7 linked regions of the Macaca fascicularis genome follow. The protein of the gene in region 1 purifies or fractionates together with the protein of each later gene. This does not show direct contact. Links are inferred from orthologs where the notes say so. Each region holds a gene or a part of one and is shown in the gene's direction. Other genes may lie near its edges.

The links.
Region 2: the proteins of NXF1 (region 1) and XPO1 purify together in Homo sapiens (affinity purification with mass spectrometry; 3 studies listed by BioGRID and IntAct, with this or other methods). This does not show direct contact. The link is inferred for Macaca fascicularis from reciprocal best matches to the Homo sapiens genes NXF1 and XPO1.
Region 3: the proteins of NXF1 (region 1) and RANGAP1 purify together in Homo sapiens (co-immunoprecipitation; 3 studies listed by BioGRID and IntAct, with this or other methods). This does not show direct contact. The link is inferred for Macaca fascicularis from reciprocal best matches to the Homo sapiens genes NXF1 and RANGAP1.
Region 4: the proteins of NXF1 (region 1) and SRSF7 purify together in Homo sapiens (affinity purification with western blotting; 3 studies listed by BioGRID and IntAct, with this or other methods). This does not show direct contact. The link is inferred for Macaca fascicularis from reciprocal best matches to the Homo sapiens genes NXF1 and SRSF7.
Region 5: the proteins of NXF1 (region 1) and E3 SUMO-protein ligase RanBP2 purify together in Homo sapiens (co-immunoprecipitation; 5 studies listed by BioGRID and IntAct, with this or other methods). This does not show direct contact. The link is inferred for Macaca fascicularis from reciprocal best matches to the Homo sapiens genes NXF1 and RANBP2.
Region 6: the proteins of NXF1 (region 1) and NXT2 purify together in Homo sapiens (co-immunoprecipitation; 5 studies listed by BioGRID and IntAct, counting the BioPlex papers as one, with this or other methods). This does not show direct contact. The link is inferred for Macaca fascicularis from reciprocal best matches to the Homo sapiens genes NXF1 and NXT2.
Region 7: the proteins of NXF1 (region 1) and FYTTD1 purify together in Homo sapiens (affinity purification with western blotting; 3 studies listed by BioGRID and IntAct, with this or other methods). This does not show direct contact. The link is inferred for Macaca fascicularis from reciprocal best matches to the Homo sapiens genes NXF1 and FYTTD1.

What each region holds. Positions count from the first base shown.
Region 1 is NC_088388.1:11,252,347-11,255,846, forward strand, and holds part of NXF1 (nuclear RNA export factor 1), read left to right. Parts: coding exon 1-90; intron 91-1,876; coding exon 1,877-1,913; intron 1,914-3,025; coding exon 3,026-3,094; intron 3,095-3,174; coding exon 3,175-3,230; intron 3,231-3,500.
Region 2 is NC_088387.1:60,435,405-60,438,904, forward strand, and holds part of XPO1 (exportin-1), read left to right. Parts: intron 1-64; coding exon 65-248; intron 249-559; coding exon 560-666; intron 667-1,198; exon of another isoform or gene 1,199-1,821; intron 1,822-2,879; coding exon 2,880-3,074; intron 3,075-3,500. UniProt on the Homo sapiens protein: Mediates the nuclear export of cellular proteins (cargos) bearing a leucine-rich nuclear export signal (NES) and of RNAs.
Region 3 is NC_088384.1:10,350,323-10,353,822, forward strand, and holds part of RANGAP1 (ran GTPase-activating protein 1), read left to right. Parts: intron 1-1,511; coding exon 1,512-1,646; intron 1,647-3,500. UniProt on the Homo sapiens protein: GTPase activator for RAN. Converts cytoplasmic GTP-bound RAN to GDP-bound RAN, which is essential for RAN-mediated nuclear import and export. Mediates dissociation of cargo from nuclear export complexes containing XPO1, RAN and RANBP2 after nuclear export.
Region 4 is NC_088387.1:83,422,969-83,425,874, forward strand, and holds part of SRSF7 (serine/arginine-rich splicing factor 7), read left to right. Parts: intron 1-186; coding exon 187-297; exon of another isoform or gene 298-1,884; intron 1,885-2,196; coding exon 2,197-2,250; intron 2,251-2,761; coding exon 2,762-2,797; intron 2,798-2,906.
Region 5 is NC_088387.1:16,258,093-16,261,592, forward strand, and holds part of E3 SUMO-protein ligase RanBP2, read left to right. Parts: intron 1-732; coding exon 733-3,500. UniProt on the Homo sapiens protein: E3 SUMO-protein ligase which facilitates SUMO1 and SUMO2 conjugation by UBE2I. Involved in transport factor (Ran-GTP, karyopherin)-mediated protein import via the F-G repeat-containing domain which acts as a docking site for substrates.
Region 6 is NC_088395.1:116,105,251-116,109,332, forward strand, and holds the start of NXT2 (NTF2-related export protein 2), read left to right. Parts: upstream 1-1,282; 5' UTR 1,283-1,305; coding exon 1,306-1,400; intron 1,401-2,062; exon of another isoform or gene 2,063-2,171; intron 2,172-2,362; coding exon 2,363-2,447; exon of another isoform or gene 2,448-2,543; intron 2,544-2,625; exon of another isoform or gene 2,626-2,821; coding exon of another isoform or gene 2,822-2,833; intron 2,834-3,467; coding exon 3,468-3,554; intron 3,555-4,082. UniProt on the Homo sapiens protein: Regulator of protein export for NES-containing proteins. Also plays a role in mRNA nuclear export.
Region 7 is NC_088376.1:1,073,596-1,077,095, reverse strand, and holds part of FYTTD1 (UAP56-interacting factor), read left to right. Parts: intron 1-1,169; coding exon 1,170-1,282; intron 1,283-3,500. UniProt on the Homo sapiens protein: Required for mRNA export from the nucleus to the cytoplasm. Acts as an adapter that uses the DDX39B/UAP56-NFX1 pathway to ensure efficient mRNA export and delivering to the nuclear pore.

The sequences.
Region 1 (3,500 bases):
GGACAAGATAAAGGGGCTGAAACTAGAAGAGCTCTGGCTCGACGGAAACTCCTTGTGTGACACCTTCCGAGACCAGTCCACCTACATCAGGTCAGTTGTAGCCTGTGTCTCCCCTCCTGGGGACCTTCACCCCCTGGGAGGCTGAGCTAATGCATCCTGACCAGGGCCCGTCTGCGGAGATGTGCAGCCCTGAGCTGGAACCACCTGTCCTTTGGGAGGATCACGTGCTCCCCACTTTGGTCTGTCTATGTCTTCCAGCTTTGTCCTGAGATCCTTTCTCTTCTCTTCTGACCTGACTATCTGTTTGCTGGGTCTGTGGCCTTTCTCTTTCTTCCTGAACACAACCTTTTCTAGAATCTCCCTACCCTGTTGTTCCAGGAAAGGCATCTCTCCTTTCTACTCTGACCAGAGGGTATTTGTACATACCCTATAGATGGAGTGGCCTTATACCAAGAGCCTGATGTCCGTGGGCGGAGGAAGCCCTCCCTGCCTGGGACTTCCTTACTGAGATGGGCCTTCCGTCCTTTGTACTGTGATGGTCCCTCTTGCCCTTGCGCGAAGAGGGACCCTTTTCTCAGGATCCACTTGCCCAGGGTTGTTGCCTGGGCATTCCTGCCCATGCTGAGGTTGAGGCCTCCTAGGGGCTGGTGGCATGCAATCTGTCTATCTCCCTGAAGAAGAAACCTGGGTTCCCCAAGACGTGATCAGAGCTGGGGCCCCGCCAGCAGGCGAGGGAATCCCAAGGCAGGTGCTGGGCGTGGAGGCCACGGGGGCATAGGCTACCAAGGAGACAGAGAACTGAGCCCCTCGGGGGCGCTGCCTCTCCCTCACTCACACACTGCACGTCACCCTGTTTGGCCCCGGTGGATGGCTGGTTAGCCAGAGACGGGTAAGATTCCTCAGGGAAGGAACAACCTAAGACAGGCACAGTCGCAGAGGGGCCATCAGGAGATAACTTGGGGGCAACAGAGGTGGGGCACGGACCCTCACCCCCACAATCCTGCAAGGGCCTGAACCCTCACACCTTCTGAGGGAGGTCTCCTGCCCCCATGGCTGCTTTGCTCCCCACGCCCAGCTCAGATCGGGACCCAGGTAGCAGACAGAGACCTGGCCAACAGCAAGTGCCCACTCACCACAGCAAGGATTTGTTTCTCATTTCTACCTTGGACCACAGGGATGGGGCAGCTGAAAGAAAGGGCTGTGTCAGTTTCTCCCTTTTCTCCCTCATTTTTCTAGATGCTTTTTTGCCTTGTAGTTCTTTTCCCTTTTTCTTTGCTTTCTCTTTCTTTTTCTTCTGTGTTTCCTATACCTCCCCATCTCTGCCTTGCCCCTGCCCCATCTTGCCTTCTTCTCTTTTTCCTCCTTTTCCTCTCCTTTCTTACTCCTTGGCTTCTCCTCTTCCTGAGCCCCACCTGCTCATCTCCCTGCCCCAACATCCTGTGCCATCCCTGTGGTGTGTTTGGGTCTTGGCCAAGGCCAGACCTGGCAGAACTGATGGATACCTGGTGAGGCAGCGGAGCCCCTGGGCTCCCACCCCATTCCCTCCTCCCGGGGCTGCACAGGTGAGTAGGTGGAAGGTAAGGGGGGCAGGGAGGGGAAAGAGGTCCTGGGCTTAAAGCCTAGGTTTGGAGTACTGCTCCTTGACACTCAGGGTCAGGCAGAGAGAAAAGAGACAGCCTTCAAGGCAGTCCATGTCTGGGTGCCCCGGGTCAGGTGGGGAGTGGGGCCATTTTTCCCTGAGCACAGGCTGGGAGGGAGTGGAGGGATGAGCAGGATGGGATGGGCTGTCCCTCGGGTTTGGTATATTTGCTCCTAGAGCAGCCCAGGAGGCACGGTGGCTCTGAAGCATCACTTACTTCTGTCCCGTTCTTGACAGCGCCATTCGCGAACGATTTCCCAAGTTATTACGCCTGGTAAGTCCATAATTTTTTCATTCTAACAAGCACAGTGTCTCCCACTCACAAGGATTCCTGGATAGTTTTCTTTTTCTTTTTATTATTTTTTTTTTTTTGAGGCGGAGTTTCACTCTTATCGCCCAGGTTGGAGTGCAACGGCGTGATCTCAGCTCACCGCAACCTCCGCCTCCCAGGTTCAAGCGATTCTCCTGCCACAGTTTACTGAGCCCGAGTAGCTGGGATTACAGGCATGTGCTACCACGCCTGGCTAATTTTTGTATTTTTAGTAGAGACAGGGTTTCACCATGTTGGCCAGGCTGGCCTCAAACTCCTCACCTCAGGTGATCCATCCACCTTGGCCTCCCAAAGTGCTGGGATTATAGGCGTGAGCCACCTTGCCAGGCCGTTTATGGAGTCTTGCTCTGTTATCCAGAGTGCGGTGCAATCTAGACTCACTGCAACCTCCGCCTCCTGGGTTCAAGCGATTTTCCTGCCTCAGCCTCCCAAGTAGCTGGGATTACATGCATGTGCCACAACGCCCAGCTAATTTCTTTGTGTATTTTTAGTAGAGACGGGGGTTTCACCATGTTGGCCAGGATGGTCTTGAACTCCTGACCTCAACTAATCCATCCACCTTGGCCTCCCAGTGTGCTGGGATTACAGGCATGAGCCACTGTGCCCAGCCTGGATTCCTGGATACTTTTCATGATGCTTTTATACGTGACTTCTGATCCTTCTCTGTTAGTTCTTTAGTCTACTTATGCATCCAGCCTTTTTCTCTCTGGTTTAAACTGTCAACTTTTGTTTTGTTTTTGAGACAGGGTCTCGCTCTGTCATCCAGGCTGGAGTGCAGTGGCACAATCGTAGCTTACTGCAACCTTCGCCTGCCAGGTTCAAGTGATCCTCCCACTTCAGCCTCCCAAATAGCTGGGACTACAGGCACACACCACCACGCCCAGCTGATTTTTGTATTTTTTTTTGGTAGAGATGGGTTTTGCCATGTTGTCCAGGCTGGTCTAAAACTCCTGGGCTCAAGCCATCTGCCTGCCTCGGCCTCCCAAAGTTCTGGGATCACAGGTGTGAGCCACTGTGCTCAGTCTACACTGTCAACTTTTATTTCCTTTCCACAGGATGGCCATGAGCTACCCCCGCCAATTGCCTTTGATGTTGAAGCCCCCACGACGTTACCGCCCTGCAAGGTAGGAAGCATGGACTGAGTAAGAACTTATGTGTGGAGAGAATACTGCTTCCATGTTCCTAATATCTTGTTTGATTTCAGGGAAGCTATTTTGGAACAGAAAACTTGAAGAGTCTGGTCCTGCACTTCCTACAACAGTAAGTATCCCAGGGCCCCCTCTCCCCACCCCGGGGTTGGCAGGGAAAGGTGGGCAGACCCAGGCACACCTCAGCCTCACTCTTTTGGGTTTTTTTTTTGTTTGTTTGTTTTTTGGACAGTGTCTCACTCTGTCACCCAGGCTGGAGTGCAATGATGTGATCTTGGCTCACTGCAACCTCTGCCTCCCAGGGTTCAAGTGATTCTCCTGCCTCAGCCTCCCCAGTAGATGGGACTACAGGCGTGTGCCACCACACCTGGCTAATTTTTGT
Region 2 (3,500 bases), on another chromosome or scaffold:
CTCACCTGGCCATTATGTGGATAATTCTTACATGATAAATGGAATTTGCTTTTTTTTCTCCAAGAATGTGGATATACTGAAAGATCCTGAAACAGTCAAGCAGCTTGGTAGCATTTTGAAGACAAATGTGAGAGCCTGCAAAGCTGTTGGACACCCCTTTGTAATTCAGCTTGGAAGAATTTATTTAGATATGCTTAATGTATACAAGTGCCTCAGTGAAAATATTTCTGCAGCTATCCAAGCTAATGGTAGGTGATTCTGATTTCTTATACGATGCAGTATAAACACTTCTCTTCTACTGCCTCAAGTCAAACATTTGATATTTTTCACAGATTTAAATCAGACCTCCCATTTCCCAGATGACCCTACACATATTTAAAATAGTTATGTGTACCTTTCCCTTTTAAAATTAGTCTTAAAGCTTATTTTCCCAATAAATCTTGTGTAGTTTTGGCTTTAAACTTTTTAATGGTAAAATGGAATTGCATCTAATGTACACCTGAGTACCGCTGTATAATTTTAGTGGTAAAATTAGATTCCATTTGATTCAATTTTGTAGGTGAAATGGTTACAAAGCAACCATTGATTAGAAGTATGCGAACTGTAAAAAGGGAAACTTTAAAGTTAATATCTGGTTGGGTGAGCCGATCGAATGATCCACAAATGGTAAGTGAGAGATGCTTTGCTTTTGGTTTTTAGTGTTGATGCTGTGTTTTATGGAGTGTGCTATACTCTATTATGTGCATTTTGCTAATTTAAAGCATATCAACTTTGTAGTTATTTTATGGCATTTTATTTATTGTAGTCCTTAATGTTAATATACTGTATTCCATCTTCAAAAGAAACTGCTGTTAATCAATAGCGAAGGGTGGTGATATGTAACAAGATAGCTAAGAAAATTGGGTCATTTTATGTTTCCATAGATAGGTCAGGAGGATTTAGTTAATGGAGTACGGGTGCAGTTTTTGCATTCCTCTTGATTTTTGGAACAATTACTAGAGCTACAAAGTTGTCATTACTTTACCTCTTTGGCAAAGTGATTGCTTCCCAGATTAAAGGCTTGAAAGTCTTTTTTACATTCTTTTTCTTAAATGATTTGCAGAAAAGGAAATCATTTTCAGTAATAAAAACCAGCTGCGTATGCCTCAACTTGTAAAATTGTGAATTACTTTTAGGTGTTAACTGTATGGTTTCATTCTTTTTATTCACTTGAGCCTTGGGAGATTCCAAAAAATTCTATTCTGATACTACTACTAGTTGGAATAGTGGGTTTTTTTTGTTTTTCTTTAACAAGTGTGCTAGTTATTTTAATAATTTTGGAATTTCAGTATTGTTTCTTGTTAAGGAAATACTTTTCAGTAAACTTGTTCTGAATATAATTCTCATGGAATACTTAAGTTGGCTAACCTAAATATCGAAAGGTTCTGAACATGTGTATTATGTGATCAGAACTGTATTTAAAATGTGAAAGCAGAATGTAAGATGTATTGAAGGAATTGTGATGCTTGTAGTTTACAAGAAGCTTGGGCACATGTCAGGAGCACAGTGGGAATAATACAAAGGGGTATCATATTTTATAAGTAACATTAATGATAAAGTTTGGGATATTTGTTCACATGAAACATTACATTTATTTTTCTTGTCTTGGCTTGTCACGGTGACTCATGCCTGTAATCCCAGCATTTTGGGAGGCCGAGGTCGGTGGATCCCTTGAGGTCAGGAGGCTGAGGCAGGAGAATCGCTTGAACCCAGGAAGGTGGTGGCAGTGAGCCTAGATCGCACCATTGCACTCCAGTCTGGGCAACAAGTGCGAAACTTCATCTCAAAAAAAAAAAAAAAAAGAACAAGAAGTTACTCATTAAGTATAACTGAGTTTACTTAGAACCATGAAAATCCTACTGGGCATCGTAGCATGCACCTGTAATCCCAACCACTAGGGAGGCTGAGGCAAGAGAATCGCCCCAGCTCTTCAAGTCCAGTTTAGGCAACACGGCAATATTCAGTTTCAAAAAAATAATAGAAATCCATAGTCTTTCTTATTTTCTGAGAGTAATTGATTGATGTTATTTCTGCTTGTGAAAATACAGTTAGCATTCATTAGATTAAAACATTATTCTGAGTTGGGCAGATCATGAGGTCAGGAGATGGAGACCACTCTGGCTAACCTCGTGAAACACCTTGTCTCCACTAAAAATACAAAAAAATTAGCTGGGCATGGTGGCAGGTGCCTGTAGTCCCAGCTACTCGATAGGCTGAGGTAGGAAAATGGCATGAACCTGGGAGGTGGAGCTTGCAGTGAGCTGAGATGGCACCACTGCACTCCAGCCTGGGCGACAGAGCGAGACTCCCTCTTAAAAAAAAAAAAAAAAAAAGACATTATTGAGGGCTCGCTTGCTGCCGTCTTACATATACAGTATACATTGAATCCTGATTGTGCCACACTAACTTGGAGCCACCAATTGAATTTTGAGCCTCACTTTCCTTATTATAAGAGTTTTGTAGCTGGGCATGATGCTATACCTGTAGTCCCAGCTACTCAGGAGACTGAGGCACAAGAATTGCTTAAACCTGGGAGGTGGAGGTTGCAGTGAGCAGAGATTTGCCACTGCACTCTGGTCTGAGTGACAGTGAGACTGTCTCAAAAAAAAAAAAAAAGTTTTGAATGACACTGTTTCCATGAGACTTCCCAACCCATTGTGATTTCCTGCTTTCTTTTGCTAAAAACTGTTTTAACGTAGGAAAACCTAATACAAACACAAGATTTTCCTATTTTCAGTAGATAATCATGCTACATCTTACAGACACGAATAACCTTGTTGTTTAAAATAGTCACCACGTACCTAGATTAAAACATAACTTTTTTTTTCCCTCCTCAACAGGTAGCTGAAAATTTTGTTCCCCCTCTGTTGGATGCAGTTCTCATTGATTATCAGAGAAATGTCCCAGCTGCTAGAGAACCAGAAGTGCTTAGTACTATGGCCATAATTGTCAACAAGTTAGGGGGACATATAACAGCTGAAATACCTCAAATATTTGATGCTGTTTTTGAATGCACATTGAATATGATAAATAAGGTGTGTAATATTTCAGTTATGTACGGGGAAAATTCTAGCGGATAGCCTTAATTCTTGAAGGCTAAAGTATATCTATGGATATAACATAATTTTAATGCCATGGAGCTTAAATATTTATACTTGTATATTAGGGAAATACTTTTTTTGTTTTCAAGAACTTCCCAGGAGTTTGAAACCAACCTGGGCAATATAGTGAGACTTCATCTCTACAAAAAGTTAAAAAATTAACCAGTCATGGTGGCATGTGCCTGTAGTCCCAGCTACTGAAGTGGCTGAGCGACAGTGACACTGAAGTGGGAGGATTACTTGAGCCTGGGAGTTCCACGTGGCAGTTTGCTGAGATCATGCTACTGCACTCTAACATGGGCAACAGAGTCAGACCATTTCTTAAAAAAGAAGAATTTACTACACAGAATCTTGATTGGT
Region 3 (3,500 bases), on another chromosome or scaffold:
TGCAGTGGGATGAGTTGGGGAATGAGTTTTGAACCCCAGGACCAGAGGGCCTCCTGGGCAGACAGGCCCACCGTGGAGTTTGATTAATGGTTCTCTGCGCCTCGGACCACTAATTCGATTAGATCTCTGGGTCTTGGCCTTGCCAACCTGTGCCTCTTGGGAGCTCAGACGCCGTAGTCTGGGTGTCTAACCAAAGCCTGCAGGTCCTTTGGCATCTTTTTCTTCTGGACAGTGTGTTTAGTGTGGTTTCTGTGCCATGCACCATGAGAATAAGAGGGCCCAGAGGAGTCGACGGGGCAAGAGGCGTGGCCCTGTGCTGGGGAACTCTCCATACCCAAGTTGGACTCCTTCAGGAGCTAAGGCCCTCACCACGTGGCCTCCAAGGAATTGGGGAGAATGGGGGTGACCTAGCAGTCAGCTGCTGCTGCTGAGGAGCTTCCTCAGAGGCTGGTCTTTGGCAGAAGTTTGATGCCTCTACCTTGAGTGTGTACCTGATCCACCATCACCACCGTGGAGTCAGGCAGGTGCTGGCTCTTCTGTTCCTCAAGGACGGCTATGTGCAGTCTCATGCCAGGAGTTAGGCCAACCTACCCGCCATGTGTGGCTTTGCTAAATATTTGCTGGGTGACCTTGGCCGATTCACTCACCTCTCAGAGCCTCAGCTTCCTCATCTGTAAAGTACAGCCAATCCCACCTGCCTCCTCGCAGGCTAGTGTTGAGGTTGAAACGAGAAAATATGCCGAGGGTGCCCAGACCCTAGCAGGTGCTCTGCAAACTTCAGGTGTTCCGTAAATCTCACTTCTCTCTTGATGCACTCGCTCATGATTCTTTTGTGTCGCATTTACCATGGGCTGTGATTCCCATCTGTCAGTCTCCGTTTTTCAGTGCTTTGCCTATTGGTGTAACCAGGGTAGAAGCTACTTCCTGGCACCACACCAGGGACAGGACAAGCTGGGTGTTAGGTTTTTACTGCCAACAGGCAAGCCCCTGCTGTGCCTGGCCAGCTTAGATACAGGCATGTATCAGACAGGTCCTTCTGGACCGTGGACTTGGCAGCTGGCTCCCTTGGACATTGTGGTGCGTGGAAGAGAAGCTGGAAGATTTGGGCTCTGGTCCAGCGTCCACCACTTGTTTATTGACCATAAGAAAGTTTCCGTTCCCCTTACCCTGAGTTTCTTCAGCTGGAAAACAGGAGTCATGAAGTAAGCTGACTAGGAAGTCCCTCCCCTGGACCTGGCTGAAAGTTCGTCCACTCCATGTGGTGTCTCCCTTTCCTCAGTCTCCGAAGCGAAGCTAGACCTCTCAGGCTGGTGTGACACAGCATTAGATGTAAAAACCTTTTGTAAACTGAAGTGCTGGGCACATGGAAGTTGTGCTGTTAGCAGTCCTGTGTCTCCTGACCTGCACCAGTGGGTGGCATGGGATGTTGAAGAGCAGTTCAGTGGCAGTGGCCGCCCCACTGGGAGAAGGGGCTCCTGCCCATGGCCTGGGCCCCTTACCTTTCCCCACAGATCCTGGCTGCAGCTCTGACCGAGTGTCACCGGAAATCCAGTGCCCAAGGCAAGCCTCTGGCCCTGAAGGTCTTCGTGGCTGGCAGAAACCGTCTGGAGAACGATGGCGCCACTGCCTTGGCAGAAGCTTTTAGGGTGAGTGGTTTCTGTCCATCCTGCCCCCGTGACCCTGAGGTGCACTTGGTGTAGTAGGCTGACAGTCCTGGATGCGAATCCCTGGCTGGCACTCAGCCGAGAGACCTGGGGCGTCACGTGCCCCCTCCAAGCCTGTTAGTCCATCTGAAAATGGGCCAGGATTCTTGTCATGCATTTCTGGAAAGGTGTGTGACTGCTCCCTCAGGTAAGCCAGCAGCAGCCCCCTGCGGGGCTTCAGGCCAGGCAGGCCGCTCTGACCAAAGAGTGTCATCTGCCAGGCTCAGAAGTGGTGAAATGAGATGGCGGGAGTACTGACAGTAGCCTGGCCCAGCCCCTGGTGTGGGGCACAGAGAAGGAACATACCAGACTTCCCAAGACAGGGAGACAGGCAGGGGCATCCGCAGGGCTCAGGGGCCAGATGATGAGGTGCTCTCAGGTGACCTTGTCCCCGCTCTTCTTCCACTCTCCTCTCCCCATCCCCCCAGGACATTGCTGAGTCCCCGACTGCGAGTGCCAGCAGAAGGCCACATTTGCCCCTAACAGGACTGAAAACTTTGGGGTCTGTCTCCCTCTTCTCTTTTTTTTTTTTTTTTGAGGCAGTCTCATTCTGTCACCTATGCTGGAGTGCAGTGGCACGATCTTGGCTCACTGCAGTCTCCGCCTCCCAGGTTCAAGCAGTTCTGCCTTAGCCTCCCGAGTAGCTGGAATTACAGGCACTCACCACCACACCCGGCTAATTTTTGTATTTTTGTTAGAGACAGGGTTTTGCCATGTTGGCCAGGTGGTCTCGAACTCCTGACCTCAAGTGATCTGCCCACCTGGGTCTCCCAAAGTGCTGGGATTACAGGCATGAGCCACCACGCCCAGCCCCTCTTCTCTTAAGTGTTTTCTTCAGCAAACAGTATCCTAGGAGCATTGCTCGTACGGGCCGGAATGGCACCCACTGTCCTGCCTGCCCACAGAGCCTGCCTATAGACACCCCTTGCCTGCTTCAGTGCCAAGTGAACACCATAGAGATCTGCCTTGTGTCTCCCGCACCCCTGGCTGCAGGGGAGCCCCCGCTCCCTCCTCGAGCTGGAGGGGGCCTCGCTGCCATCCTTGGACCCCTCCCTGCCCTCAGCCCGCTGTCCTCAGTGCACTAGGAGTAGGTGGTGTGCTGTGGTTGTGTTGAGCCTTCATAGGTGTCCTCTGGTGGGCTTCGAATGGGAGTTCTTAATCCCCTCCAGTCTGTGGATAGAATTCAGGGGTCTGTGAACATGGATGAGGAAAAAATAACATCATTATTTATCCCTAACATAGCTAAAGTATGTAGTGTGACTTTTGATCACGAATGTAGACAATAAACCTCACAGCATTAGAAAGGCCTGTGAATAACCCACATAACAAACAAGCACGTGTAGCCCCTGAACCAAACAAAAAATTTATTGAGACAGGGTCTCACTCTGTGGCCAGGCTGGAGTGCACCAGTAGCAATCTCGGCCCACTGCAGTTTCAGCTTCCCAGGCTCAAGTGATCCTCCCACCTCAGTCTTCTGATTAGCTGGGACTACAGGTGCACACCACCATGTTAATTTTTGTATTTTAGTAGAGATGGGGTTTCACCATGTTAACCAGACTGGTCTCAAACTCCTGACCTCAGGTGATCCACCCACCTTGGCCTCCTAAAGTGCTGGGATTATAGGCATAAGCCACTGTGCCCAGCCTAAAATTTTTTAAAAAATAAATGACAGGTGCAGTTGGCTCATGCCTGTAATCCCAGCACTGTGGGAGGCTGAGACGGGCGGATCATGAGGTCAGGAGATCGACACCATTCTGGCTAACACGGTGAAACCTTGTCTCTACTAAAAATACAAAC
Region 4 (2,906 bases), on another chromosome or scaffold:
CACCATACCCAGCTAGTTTTTCTTTTTGTAGAAATGGTCTTGCACTGTTTCCCAGGCTGGTCTCAAGCTCCTGGGCTTGAGACCAGTGCTGGGATTACAGGTATAAGCCATTGCACCGTTCCCCAATTGAAGTCTTAACAGGCCAAAAAAAAAATGTGGAGATGGACTTAAAGTTCTTTATTTTAGGTCAAGGTCAGCATCTCCTCGACGATCAAGATCTATCTCTCTTCGTAGATCAAGATCAGCTTCACTCAGAAGATCTAGGTCTGGTTCTATAAAAGGATCGAGGTATTTCCAGTATGTAACACTTTCTTTTCTTACTTGTGTTTGGGTTGTTCACATCTTCACAGCAGTAGAGTGTCTTAAAGACATAATTCAAATGGATTGTTGCAGGGAATATTTGAGATGTAAAAGTTTGGAATTGATATGTAACTTGTAACATAAATATTAATCTAGTTTTACAGATGAAGAAAAGGGCTACTAGAGATTTTAAGGCTTGTTAGAGAGGCCATGGTGGTAGAGAAAGGTCCAAAGCAACACAATTTTAGTGAACACTCTGGATAGGCATATTGCTATAAACTTGTGGCTTCAGATTAGATGATACTAGCTCTGAAAGATGGTAATTGATTTTCCCGACAAAAAGGCCTGTTAGAACCAGGAAAAGAGATTAGAAGCAAGTAGAAACATTTCTCATTTTTGGAATGATGGTGTTGATTGGAGACACTGGAAAGTTGGGGCAGTAGTGTGTACATACAAATGAATGTGGATTTTTTTTTTGGACAGAGACCTGAAAAAACAAACTTAAGAACCAGAGCTTTACTCTTTGTAGGCGGCCTTAAAAGGAGATAGAGTGGAAAAAATTGTAAAATGAGTATTGTAATATGTAATTAATAATATTCCAATATTGTGAGACAGAGCCTCGCTCTGTCGCCCAGGCTGGAGTGCAGTGGTGCAATCTCTGCTCACTGCAAGCTCCACCTCCTGAGTTCACACCACTTTCCTGCCTCAGCCTCCCTGGTAGCTGGGACTACAGGCGCCTACCACCACGCCCAGCTAATTTTTTGTATTTTTAGTAGAGACGGGGTTTCACCGTGTTAGCCAGGATGGTCTTGATCGCCTGACTTGTGATCTGTCCGCCTCAGCCTCCCAAAGTGCTGGGATTACAGGCTTGAGCCACCGCGCCTGGCCCAACAATATTATCTGTATCAATGATAAAACAGTGGTACAGAATGCTACTGGGAGTTAAATTGCTGTTTAGTAGCACAAAACCTTTAAATGCAGGAACTCTGAATCTTGTGGTCTATTTGAGAAAGCTATGGACTATCTCATTAGATATATTTAAAAGATAGATATGTCCGATTTGGTTTGTCTGACAAATTGATGGCTCTCAAACGTAACGATCCAGGAATGTAAAGCCTTATTAAGTGGTGGCTTTCTTCTCGTCTGGCCTTATCACCTGAATTAGTCTCAGTTCAGGGGTCTGGTTATTTTCTTTTTTTTTTTTTTTGAGATGGAGTCTCTGTGTGTCACCCAGGCTGGAGTGCAGGGGCGCAATCTTGGCTTACTGCAAGCTCCGCCTCCTGAGTTCATGCCATTCTCCTGCCTCAGCCTCCCCAGCAGCTGGGACTACAGGTGCACAACGCCATGCCCAGCTAATTTTTGTATTTTTAGTAGAGACGGGGTTTCACCATGTTAGCCAGGATGGTCTCTATCTCCTGACCTTGTGATCCACATGCCTTGGCCTCCCAGAGTGCTGGGATTACAGGCGTGAACCACCACACCAGCTGGGGTCTGGTTATTTTCATCCTGCCTTAGCCTCCTGAGTAGCTGGGACTACCATTGTGCACCACAGTGCCCAGCTGAGGAATCTGTGCCTTAAGTGAGGTTAGTTTTGCTTCCTTCATACCAGTCTTATCAAATGAAAACCATGTGTTTCCCTTGGATGTTACACAGTGTTTGAGAATATTCCTGTACGGGAACTGTAACCAGCTGAGTGATAGAAACGAGTAATTGAAATGGTGGTTCCTTATGTCTCATAACAGTTTGTTTGAAAGTGTGTTTAGAATAAGGCAAGTGGTGTATCTTGCTTAGTCTTAGCTTCTCTACGCCTAACCTACCTAATACAGTGTTGAGTAGTTGTTTAAGGAAATTCCTTTGGATAATTGATATAATTGTGTTTTTCACTTTTTTATTAAGATCCCCGTCGAGGTCAAGATCAAGATCCAGGTCTATTTCAAGACCAAGAAGCAGGTAGGGTAAAAATTTGATTATGCTCTTCTAGTTATATGGCACCAATATCCAAAGAGTTCAAAGTGTTTTTTAATTGTTGAAATTTTAAGTGTTAACTCTAAACTTAGTTGTTAGTGGGAACACAGTACCTTATTTGTGTATGTCCTATTTATTACTGACTGACTTTCCCTGAAAAAGGGAATGTAAAACTGTAGTGAGAAAGACGTTTGTGACTTTGGGGATTATATTAAAGAGGCCCTTGTTAGAACTGATAGGTGCATGGAGAAGCATCCTGAAATTAATATGCAATGTAAAAGATTAATCATGATACAGTAATTGATTCATTTTTTTGAAAAACAGTTGTTGGAAGATTGGCCTTTGTTAGCAACAACTGGTAGGATGTTTTTCAGTTTAAGTGCAGTCTGACATTTTAAGCTTAGGACCTTTGGGGGTTTGTTTTACGGTATTGGTGACTACAAGAAAGGGATTGGTTAGTACTCTTTCTTTAATAGAATTTCTCATGTTTTGACAGCCGATCAAAGTCCAGATCTCCATCTCCAAAAAGAAGGTAAGCTAAATGTTTTGTTGCCAGATCTTGCCTGTCAAGTGTGGCCTCTGCAGAATTTGTTTGCTTACTGCTTTGCAGTCTTTGAGCTCTTTGGAGAATTGGTGCTATA
Region 5 (3,500 bases), on another chromosome or scaffold:
CCTGATACAGCTATATATATAACAATTGATTGAAGACTCAAAATTACAGTGGTAGTTGAATGTGATAGCTTTGAGGACAGAGTGATGGGGTGCATTTAGACCCTTGCTCTTCTGCTTATTTTGACCACAGGCAAGTTTCTTAACCTCTCAATGCATCAGTTGCCTCATATGTAAAATGAGGATAATAATAATACCTTAATTCATAGGGTTTTTGAGGATATTAAAATGAGATAATAATGTAAAGTGCTTAGAATAGTGCCCAGCTGGCACATTAATAAATGCTCAATAAATGTTACCATCATCATCATCATCATCATTATTAACATCATTTGATAAATTGTTTAGGAATGAAGATGGTATTTATTTTATGACTTTAGTTGTAGATTTTAAGATGCTGTAATTAATTTTCATTATATGCCAAGTATATATGCAAGTATCTTTGTAGCAATGTGGTTTTCTCTTAACCTATTTATGCCTAGTGTTCCATTATTGGAACACTAAGCTTTTGGGAGTTATTTATATCTTACTGCTCAGGGTCATTGCCAAGGTCTGATTTTTCACACAGAAAATTTGCAGCCTCTGGCATAAACGGGTTAATGATGTGTACTACATCCCCTAATGATATCTTCTTCACTTAATATTCATGTTTGAAGTTTGTGAGAATTGGTTTGCATTTAGTTATCTGTAGTTTTGTAGACAATCTACAAAATGTTTTAACTTTCTGTCTTCTAGGGCCCAGTCTATGGCATGAATAGGCTTCCACCCCAACAGCATATTTATGCCTATCCGCAACAGATGCACACACCACCAGTGCAAAGCTCATCTGCTTGTATGTTCTCTCAGGAGATGTATGGTCCTCCTGCATTGCGTTTTGAGTCTCCTGCAACAGGAATTCTATCGCCCAGGGGTGATGATTACTTTAATTACAATGTTCAGCAGACAAGCACAAATCCACCTTTGCCAGAACCAGGATATTTCACAAAACCTCCAATTGCAGCTCATGCTTCAAGATCTGCAGAATCTAAGACTATAGAATTTGGGAAAACTAATTTTGTTCAGCCCATGCCAGGTGAAGGAATAAGGCCATCTTTGCCAACACCAGCACACACAACACAGCCACCTCCTTTTAAATTTAACTCAAATTTCAAATCAAATGATGGTGACTTCACATTTTCCTCACCACAGGTTGTGACACAGCCCCCTCCTGCAGCTTACAGTAACAGTGAAAGCCTTTTAGGTCTCCTGACTTCAGATAAACCCTTGCAAGGAGATGGCTATAGTGGACCCAAACCAGTTCCTGGTGGTCAGACCATTGGGCCTCGAAATACATTCAATTTTGGAAGCAAAAATGTGTCTGGAATTTCGTTTACAGAAAACATGGGGTCAGCTCAGCAAAAGAATTCTGGTTTTCGGCGAAGTGATGATATGTTTACTTTCCGTGGTCCAGGGAAATCAGTATTTGGAACACCCACTTTAGAGACAGCAAACAAGAACCATGAGACAGATGGAGGAAGTGCCCATGGGGATGATGATGATGATGGTCCTCACTTTGAGCCTGTAGTACCTCTTCCTGATAAGATTGAAGTAAAAACTGGTGAGGAAGATGAAGAAGAATTCTTTTGCAACCGTGCGAAATTGTTCCGTTTTGATGTAGAATCCAAAGAATGGAAGGAACGTGGGATTGGCAATGTAAAAATACTGAGGCATAAAACATCTGGTAAAATTCGCCTTCTAATGAGACGAGAGCAAGTGTTGAAAATCTGTGCAAATCATTATATCAGTCCAGATATGAAATTGACACCAAATGCTGGATCAGACAGATCTTTTGTCTGGCATGCCCTTGATTATGCAGATGAGTTGCCAAAACCAGAACAACTTGCTATTAGGTTCAAAACTCCTGAGGAAGCAGCACTTTTTAAGTGCAAGTTTGAAGAAGCCCAGAGCATTTTAAAAGCCCCAGGAACAAATGTAGCCACAGCATCAAATCAGGCTATCAGAATTGTAAAAGAACCCACAAGTCATGATAACAAGGATATTTGCAAATCTGATGCTGGAAACATGAATTTTGAATTTCAAGTTGGAAAGAAAGAAGGGTCTTGGTGGCATTGTAACAGCTGCTCATTAAAGAATGCTGCAACTGCTAAGAAATGTGTATCATGCCAAAATCTAAACCCAAGCAATAAAGAACTCGTTGGCCCACCATTATCTGAAACTGTTTTTACTCCTAAAACTGGCCCAGAGAATATTCAAGATCGATTTGCATTGATGACTCCAAAGAAAGAAGGTCACTGGGATTGTAGTATTTGTTTAGTAAGAAATGAACCTACTGTATCTAGGTGCATTGCGTGTCAGAACACAAAATCTGCTAACAAAAGTGGATCTTCATTTGTTCATCAGGCTTCATTTACATTTGGCCAGGGAGATCTTCCTAAACCTGTTAACAGTGACTTCAGATCTGTTTTTTCTACAAAGGAAGGACAGTGGGAGTGCAGTGTATGTTTGGTACAAAATGAGGGGAGCTCTACAAAATGTGCTGCTTGTCTGAATCCGAGAAAACAGAGTCTACCTGCTACTGCTATTCCAACACCTGCCTCTTTTAAGTTTGGTACTTCAGAGACAAGTAAAACTCCAAAAAGTGGATTTGAGGACATGTTTGCTAAGAAGGAAGGACAGTGGGATTGCAGTTCATGCTTAGTGCGAAATGAAGCAAATGCTACAAGATGTGTTGCTTGTCAGAATCCAGATAAACCAAGTCCATCTACTTCTGTTTCAGCTCCTGCCTCTTTTAAGTTTGGTACTTCAGAGACAAGCAAGGCTCCAAAGAGCGGATTTGAGGGAATGTTCACTAAGAAGGAAGGACAATGGGATTGTAGTGTGTGCTTAGTAAGAAATGAAGCCAGTGCCACCAAATGTATTGCGTGTCAGAATCCAGGTAAACAAAATCAAACTGCTTCTGCAATTTCAACACCTGCCTCTTCAGAGACAAGCAAGGCTCCAAAGAGCGGATTTGAGGGAATGTTCACTAAGAAGGAAGGACAATGGGATTGCAGTGTGTGCTTACTAAGAAATGAAGCCAGTGCTACCAAATGTATTGCTTGTCAGAATCCAGGTAAACAAAATCAGACTACTACTGCAATTTCAACACCTGCCTCTTCAGAGACAAGCAAGGCTCCAAAGAGTGGATTTGAGGGAATGTTCACTAAGAAGGAAGGACAGTGGGATTGCAGTATGTGCTTAGTAAGAAATGAAGCCAGTACTACCAAATGTATTGCTTGTCAGTATCCAAGTAAACAAAATCAAACAACTGCAATTTCAACACCTACCTCTTCGGAGGTAAGCAAGGCTCCAAAGAGTGGATTTGAAGGAATGTTCATCAAGAAAGGACAGTGGGATTGTAGTGTTTGCTGTGTACAAAATGAGAGTTCTTCCTTAACATGTGTGGCTTGTGATGCCTCTAAACCAACTCATAAACCTATTGCAGAAGCTCCTTCAGCTTTCAC
Region 6 (4,082 bases), on another chromosome or scaffold:
GTATCATCTTAACCAATTTACTTAACTTCTTTAAACTTAAGTTTAAATTTTAAAAAATCTAGATAATAATGTCTGCCTTTCTGGGGGTCTTGAGGATTGAATGAAATCATATAAAACACAATCTCTCAATCAAGAAAAACAATCACCAATAAAGCAGTAAACATCAGTCATTCTTGGCAACCAGTAGTAGTTAACTTTGCCAGTGTTGGTGAATTTGGGAGAATAGCCTGGGAAAATAAATTCAGATCAGACCAAGGTAGGTATTTAAAGATTATGAGTTTGGAAGAAAATAGGCAATAGAGTTATCAAAGTTTGTGTGGGAGGAGAGAATGAGAGGGGGAATGAGAAGGGGAAAGGGAGAGAAGTTCGGGGGGAGAGAGGGAGGAGAGAACGAGACGGGAAAAGTGAGAGAAGTGTGGGGGAGAAAGGGAGGGAGAGAGCCAAAAAGAGAGAGGGAGAAAAAGGAAAAGAGTTAGCCGGACCTGGTGGCTCGTGCCTGTAGTCCCAGCTACTCTACTCGGGAGGCTGAGGCAAGAGAATTGCTCGAACCCAGGCGGCGGAGGTTGGCAGTGAGCCAACTTCATGCCACGGCACTCCAGCCTGAGCCACAGAGCCAGACTCCGTCTCAAAAAAAAAAAAAAAAAAAAAAGAAATAAAAAAAAAAGGGAAGAGGGAGAAGGGTAGAAGGATTGCTATAGGGAATGGTCAGAACTAAGCAAGTTACTCAGTATTTCTTTGTAACTCATTGATGTTATGTTTATTGTCTAGCACTCTCATTACACTTTGAGCCTCATAAGAATACGAAACATGTCCATTTTATTCTCCACTATATATACAGAGCCTTGCACAATCCTTGGCACACAGTGACTACTTGATAAATATTTATTGAATGAATCATGATAAGGAGGAGAGGGAACCAAAAAAATAAAGATTCCGAGAATTCAAGATAGGCGACTGGGAGAATACAAAAGTTTGGAAGTGCAGAGGAAATAATGAGTTTAAATTTTGCACGTACAAGTTTAAGAAGCCTATAGTGCACTCGTGTTCATGTTTAGCAAAATTCATATGTGTAACTGGACCTCAGATAAGCGGTGCGGGCTTGGGATAGGTTGTTAAGATTCATTAGCATACGGGTAGCAATTTACATCACCCTGAAGAAGGGAGGCTTTAAAAGGGGGGATGCACCGGAAGTGACGCCAGTCAGAGGTTAGGTTAGCGGAAAACGGAAGCAGAGTGGCCGAGAAGCAGCTTCCGTTAGCACTACCTTAAAAGGAAAAGAGCCAGATAAAGAGAAAGGTTAAAAGTATGAGAAAGTGCAGAAGCCACTGGTCTCAGGGAGACAGAGAAAGACACCAAAGAAGAAGTCACTATTATGAGGGACCACACACCAGCCACTCAAGGTAAAACTACAACATCTAATTAATTTGCCATTTAAATCAGAAGTCGTTGGCGGCTTTGGGATGAGAGGTTTTTAAGGGGTGTTGGGGAGCAAAGCCAGATTGCCGTGATAGTTATATTGCTTGAGTTTGAATCTCAACTAGTCTGTTACCGTAGGCAGATTCACTCCATCTTAGCTGTAAAATGAAGATTATAAAATAATAGCAATTACCTCAGCATTGTTATAATAAGTGGATATATGTAAAACTGATTAGAAAAGCACCTTACATACAGTCAGCGCTTCACATTTTAGTTATTGTTAGAATACTTTGCAGAATAAATAGCCCTTAAAAGGTGGTGAATGGCACTGTGAACTTAATTTTTGTTGGTGTCTGCAAGACATTGTAAAATGCCAGAATGGGGAAACTAGATGAACTTTTCCTGTTGAATATGGCTAGGTTAAAATGAAACAGTAATTTTAGGCATACTGCCAAAACATAGTAATTCAGTGAGGGTGATCCTTCCAGAATGTTCCAGAATGCTAAATTGTTCACTATTCATGCACGCCTTTCCCCAAGCTCCGCCCATTTATCCTATAGGCTACGGAATAGGAGGTCTCGCATTTCGAATTGGTCTCCAGAGGACTTTGGCTCCGCCTCCTGGGGCAAAAAAAGTCCCTGTAATTGAACACTTTCATTTTTGCTTGTCCCCAGGCTTGTCGGTAGAAAACTAAGGGACTTTCCTTTTGAGTATCATGTTTACAAAAGCGAAGTGGTTTTTAAATTTTAAACTAAGTAAGTATCAAACAAGTAGATAAGGCGGATGGGAGGGATCTGCAGGAACTGAAGGGCGGTGGAACTTAAGGTTGGAACATCGGTGTGCTTTTAACGACGGACCGAGCTACTTCCGGGAGAGAATGGGAGGGTGGAAAATTCTGTGCGTTTGGCGGGTTTCGCTCTCTTCATAAGTATTGATCATTCCGCAGCTGTGGGGGCCGGACACGTGAGGAGGTAGTGACGCCGCCACTGCCGGAACACGCTGCTGCAGGCTCCCCGATGGCCATGTCTGTGGTGAGTGCTTGGGCTGTGGCAGGTCTGCTGGGCGCCGGACTCCAGTGGCTGATTGGAGGGACTCCGGGGCGGTCTGGTTGCTGCTCACGTGGATAGGTGACGAATCACGGCCCGGCTCTCTGTACTGCGGGGCGGGGCCCACGTTTTGCTGCCCGCCTTGCCGGCCCCAACCCCGCCTGTTTTGCTGTCGCTTTCTGGTCCCGGAAAGGACCCTGAGCTGCGAAATAGCGAGAGGCGGGGGTTTGGGGTTTGTTGTTTATGGCTTGCAGTCTCTTTTTCTCGATTATCTTCCTCTCTAAAAATCACTTTCAGTTACCTGACAAACTGGCGATTCATTGTTCTTAATTCTGTAATAGACTGGGCCCCGTAAATGAATGAGAAGGAAGGTATTCCTTAATTCTCCGGCACGAACGCCAACAGCGTTGCTTTCTTCGGTTTCACGGTTCTTATGCAAACAGCAGTGAAAGTTCACGTAATGTGGGAAAGTTTCCTAAGTGGAGCTGCCAGTTTTTCAAGTAGTTGAACTACTTTGGGGTGTGTGTGTGTGTGTGTGTGTGTGTGTGTGTTCCGTTCAACAACTTTGGAGTTTGGCCCTAACATCTCACTTGGAAAAGAGAAAACACTTGCCTAGCTTATTCAGTGGCAGTTTTCGCCGCTCGCTCTCCTTTTCTAAGGGTCAGGTGGTGTCATTTTCATTGCCGTGAATGTTTGTAAAATATTGAAAGTCTAAAGTACTTAGTTGCCAAGAAAAGATTATAAATTTATATGTAGAGACTGAAAAAGACTCAGATTCATTGAGAAGATTATGTCCTAAAGACATGCACTTAAAGTTAGTGAAAAATTTTAAAATTGCAAACTTTAGAGTCCAGCCTTTAAAATGTCTGAATTTATATGAAAGAATGTGGACTATATATAGAACTACATGGTGGTTGAAATAAATCATCAGCTTCTGTCAGTGGTTTTGTGTTTGTGAGGGGTTGAAACGGTTGGTAATCTATACTTCCGGAATTTTTCTTGTAGGATTTTAAAACTTATGTAGATCAGGCATGTAGAGCTGCTGAGGAGTTTGTCAATATTTACTATGAGACAATGGATAAAAGAAGACGGGTGAGTGTTATAGACTCTACTACTGTTTTTAGACTACTACTTGTTATTAAATACCAGGTCGTGTCTGGAGCCAGCGTTTCATCTGCCTTGCATAAGTGGTAACTGTGGACTTACCCTTTAAAAGCAAATTGCTCAGGGAAGGATTGGTATGGCATTCATGGGAACATGGGCTCTGGAATCATATCCCAGGTTTACCTTTACCTAGTTTTTTAACCTGGAGCAAGCTGTCATTTTCCCTCAACCTCATTTTCTTTTCAGGTTGGTAAGTATGAATTAATTAAAATACCGCACTTAACATTGGGCCCAGCATATATTCACTTAAATATGTTTCCTTTTCTTAGTTCCATCAGTTAACCAATATGGTTAAGGTAGTATTAGTGCTAATGGAGGGGTCGGTCATTACCGGGAATATTTCCTGATTCGTCCCTTTTATTTCATATATTTATAGGTAATTTCTGATTATGGTTCAGAAGTATAGCTTACACCCACAAAAAGTATGCATGTAGCATGGATAATATTAAGTCCTCA
Region 7 (3,500 bases), on another chromosome or scaffold:
CAACTGGAGTGCAGTGACGTGATCTTGGCTCAGCCTTCTGAGTAGCTGGGATTACAGGTGTGTGCCACCATGCCTGGCTAATTTTTGTATTTTTAGTAGAGATGGGGTTTCACCATGTTGGCCAGGCTAGTCTTAAACTCCTGACCTCAAGTGATCTGCCCCCCTCTGCCTCCCAAAATGCTGGTATTACAGGCGTGAGCCACCATGCCTGGCCGAAAATTGAGGTTTTTTTGGGTGGGGATAGAGTCTCACTCTGTCGCCCAGGCTGGAGTGCAGTGGTGCAATCTTGGCTCACTGCAACCTCCGCCTCCTGGGTTCAGGAAATTCTCCTGCCTCAGCCTCCCGAGTAGCTGGGACTACATGTGTGTGCCACCATGACTGGCTAATTTTTGTATTTTTAGTAGAGATGGGGTTTCACCATGTTGGCCAGGCTGGTCTCAAACTCCTGACCTCGTGATCCACCTGCCTCAGCCTCCCAAAGTGTGGGGATTAAAGGCGTGAGCCGCCGTGCCTGACCAAATTAAGACTTTTTAATGTGAGTCAGTCAGTGGATATTTATGAAGTACTTCTCATATACTTAATAGAAGAATCCAGATAAAGTATAAGATAACGTTCGTATTTGTCAAGAACTTTTGAGAAGTCTTTATGGACAATATGAATATCTGAATTAGGCTTTAATGGTGGATTTAATTTACATATATGGAGGAAGAAAAAGAGGGTGTTTCATGTGCTTTTGTTTTTTGTGGTACTTTTTGCCTCTGACCATGTCTATTCCAGCTCCTTTGCTGTCATGACTTCCCCGCTTTTTCTTGTTTTCGGCATTTGTTTTGGAACTTGGCTTTTTAAAATCTATTAGTATCAAAAATCATGTTTATATAAATTATTCCCTAATTTATATCTCTGGCCCTCTGATTCTTCTCTTGAGTTGCGGAGCCACAATTCCCCAGCACCTGTGGGTCCCGTGAGTACCTCACATATTTTAAGTATAATGTGGGGTTTTCATCTTTCCAATCGCTTAGGCTGTAAATTTTCAAGCTGTTTCTCCATCTCCCTTATCTACACATTCAAGCTGTTGTCAATCCCTGTTCATTCTGCATCAGAAATGTTTATTGTAGTAGGGTATATAGAAAAATGCAATTTGATTAACATAGTTTCTTGCCTTCTGATAGAATATAGAACAATATTTTCCAGTGTTAAAAAGGAAGGCAAACCTTCTGAGACAAAATGAAGGGCAGAGGAAACCAGTGGCAGTTCTCAAGAGACCTAACCAGCTAAACAGAAAGTAAGTACTCAAATATGATGATGTGTTATTTTGCATTAAAAAACACTTCTTGCATTAAGTGGTGTGAAGAATAGATTTGCAGTGATTTTTTTAGTTATCTGGTCATTTTCAAGACAGATGTTTGGGATGTCTATCTGAGCATCCACATGGATGTATCCAGTAATAGCTCGTTTATTAGATGAATTCTTACTGATGAATTTAACCAATATCAGCTTTTTAAAAAGCATCACTCTGCTTCTTTACCCCTTTGACACATGGAATAAAATTGCAAAAGCTGATCACTTTAGTAGAACTCTCTCTCTTTTTTTTTTTTTCCTGTTTTTTGAGACAGGGTCTTCTCGCTCTATTGCTGAGGCTGGAGTGCAGTGGCGCCATCACTGCTCACTGGAGCCTCAACCCCCACCCGGACTCAAGTGATCCTCCCACATCAGCCTCCTGAGTAGATGGGACCACAGATACATGCCACCATGCCCTGCTAGTTGTTTTTTTTTTTTTTTTTTTGGTAGAGACAGGGTCTCACCCTGTTGCCTAGGCTGGTCTCAATTCCGGGCCTCAAGTGATCCTCCCACCTCAGCCTCCTAAAGTGCTGGGATTACAGGCATGTGCCACTGTGCCCAGCCCTGGTAGAACTCTTAACATCTCAGTGGGAATTATTCAAAATTGGGAATTCTGAAAGCTCAATTTGTTACTCAGTCTGGATGGCCCTTACTAGAACACTGAATCACAATGTATGTTATTTGTGGAAAAATCAAACTAGAAAGGAGGAATTCTTGATGAACACTTGTTAAACTGAAATTATTTTTATACTAAGTTGAATAATAAAAACCAAAAATTATGGCCTGTGAGCTGGGCACAGTGGCATGTGCCTGTGGTCCCAGCTACTTAAGAGGCTGAGGCAGAAGGATCACATGAGCCCAGGATTCAGGGCTAACCTGGGCAACATAGTGAGACCCCCATCTCTGAAAAAAAAAGAAAAATTATGATCTGTTGTTACGGCATTCTGTTCTCTGTAAGGACAAAGTAGATGAAGTTAATGAGGTGTGAAGTTTCCTTATTCGGTTTCAAGTACTATTTATTTATCTCTCGTGGAAGATTATTCAGCAAACAAAACCTGGAATGGAGTTTTTTAAAAATGCAGTGGCTGGGCACAGTGGCTCATGCTTGTATTCGCAGCACTTTGGGAGGCCATGGCGTGTAGATCACCTGAGGCCAGGAGTTCGAGACCAGCCTGGCCAACATGGTGAAATCCCATCTCTACTAAAAATATAAAAATTAGCTGGACATGGTGGTGCATGCCTGTAGTTCCAGCTATTTGGGAGGCTGAGGCAGGAGAATCGCTTAAACCTGGGAGGCAGAGATTGCGGTGAGTCAAGATCGTGCCACTGCACTCCAGCCTGGGTAACAGTGAAACTGTCTAAAACAAAATAAAAAATAAAAAACAAAACAAAAAATGTAATGGCTGGAATTGCAGTTTTAACCATCATCTTTTGGGAATCACTTGATAATAAGGTACCTTCTCAAATAAGAACCCATCATTTACATGAGACTTACATGTTAATTGGGTTAGCTAGGGAAATTTTGAACTTGAATCTCTGAAAGATTGGAGGTAAGACTAAGGAATCTAATGAACACTTGTTTGTATAGTGTTTCATATTCATCAATAGATCAGTTGAAGACATGGAATATTAGAGGATTGAATATTGCATAAATATGAAATTTTAATTTTTCATACTTCACCAACTTCCTGTAGAAAACAAGAAATTAGGTGCAGCAAACCACCATGGCGCATATACACCTACGTAAGAAACCTGCGTGTTCAGCATGTGTCTCGGAACTTAAAGTAAAATTAAAAAAAGAAAAAAGAATTGGTGAAAGTCAAACATAATTAACAGCATTGTTCTGTGCATGAAAGAACAAGAAACAGAAGAGTATAAGTTTTTCTGTGGTTTATTTATTTTTTGAGATGAAGTCTGTCGCTGGGCTGGAGTGCAGTGGCGTGATCTCGGCCCACTGCACCTCTGCTTCCCTGATTCAAGCAATTCTCATGCTTCAGCCTCCTGAGTAGCTGGGACTACAGGCGCGTGCCACCAAGGCTGGCTAGCTTTTGTGTTTTTAGTAGAGACAGGATTTCACCATGTTGCCCAGGCTGGTCTTGAACTCCTGACCTCAAGTGATCCACTCACCTCAACCTCCCAAAATGCTGGGATTACAGGTGTGA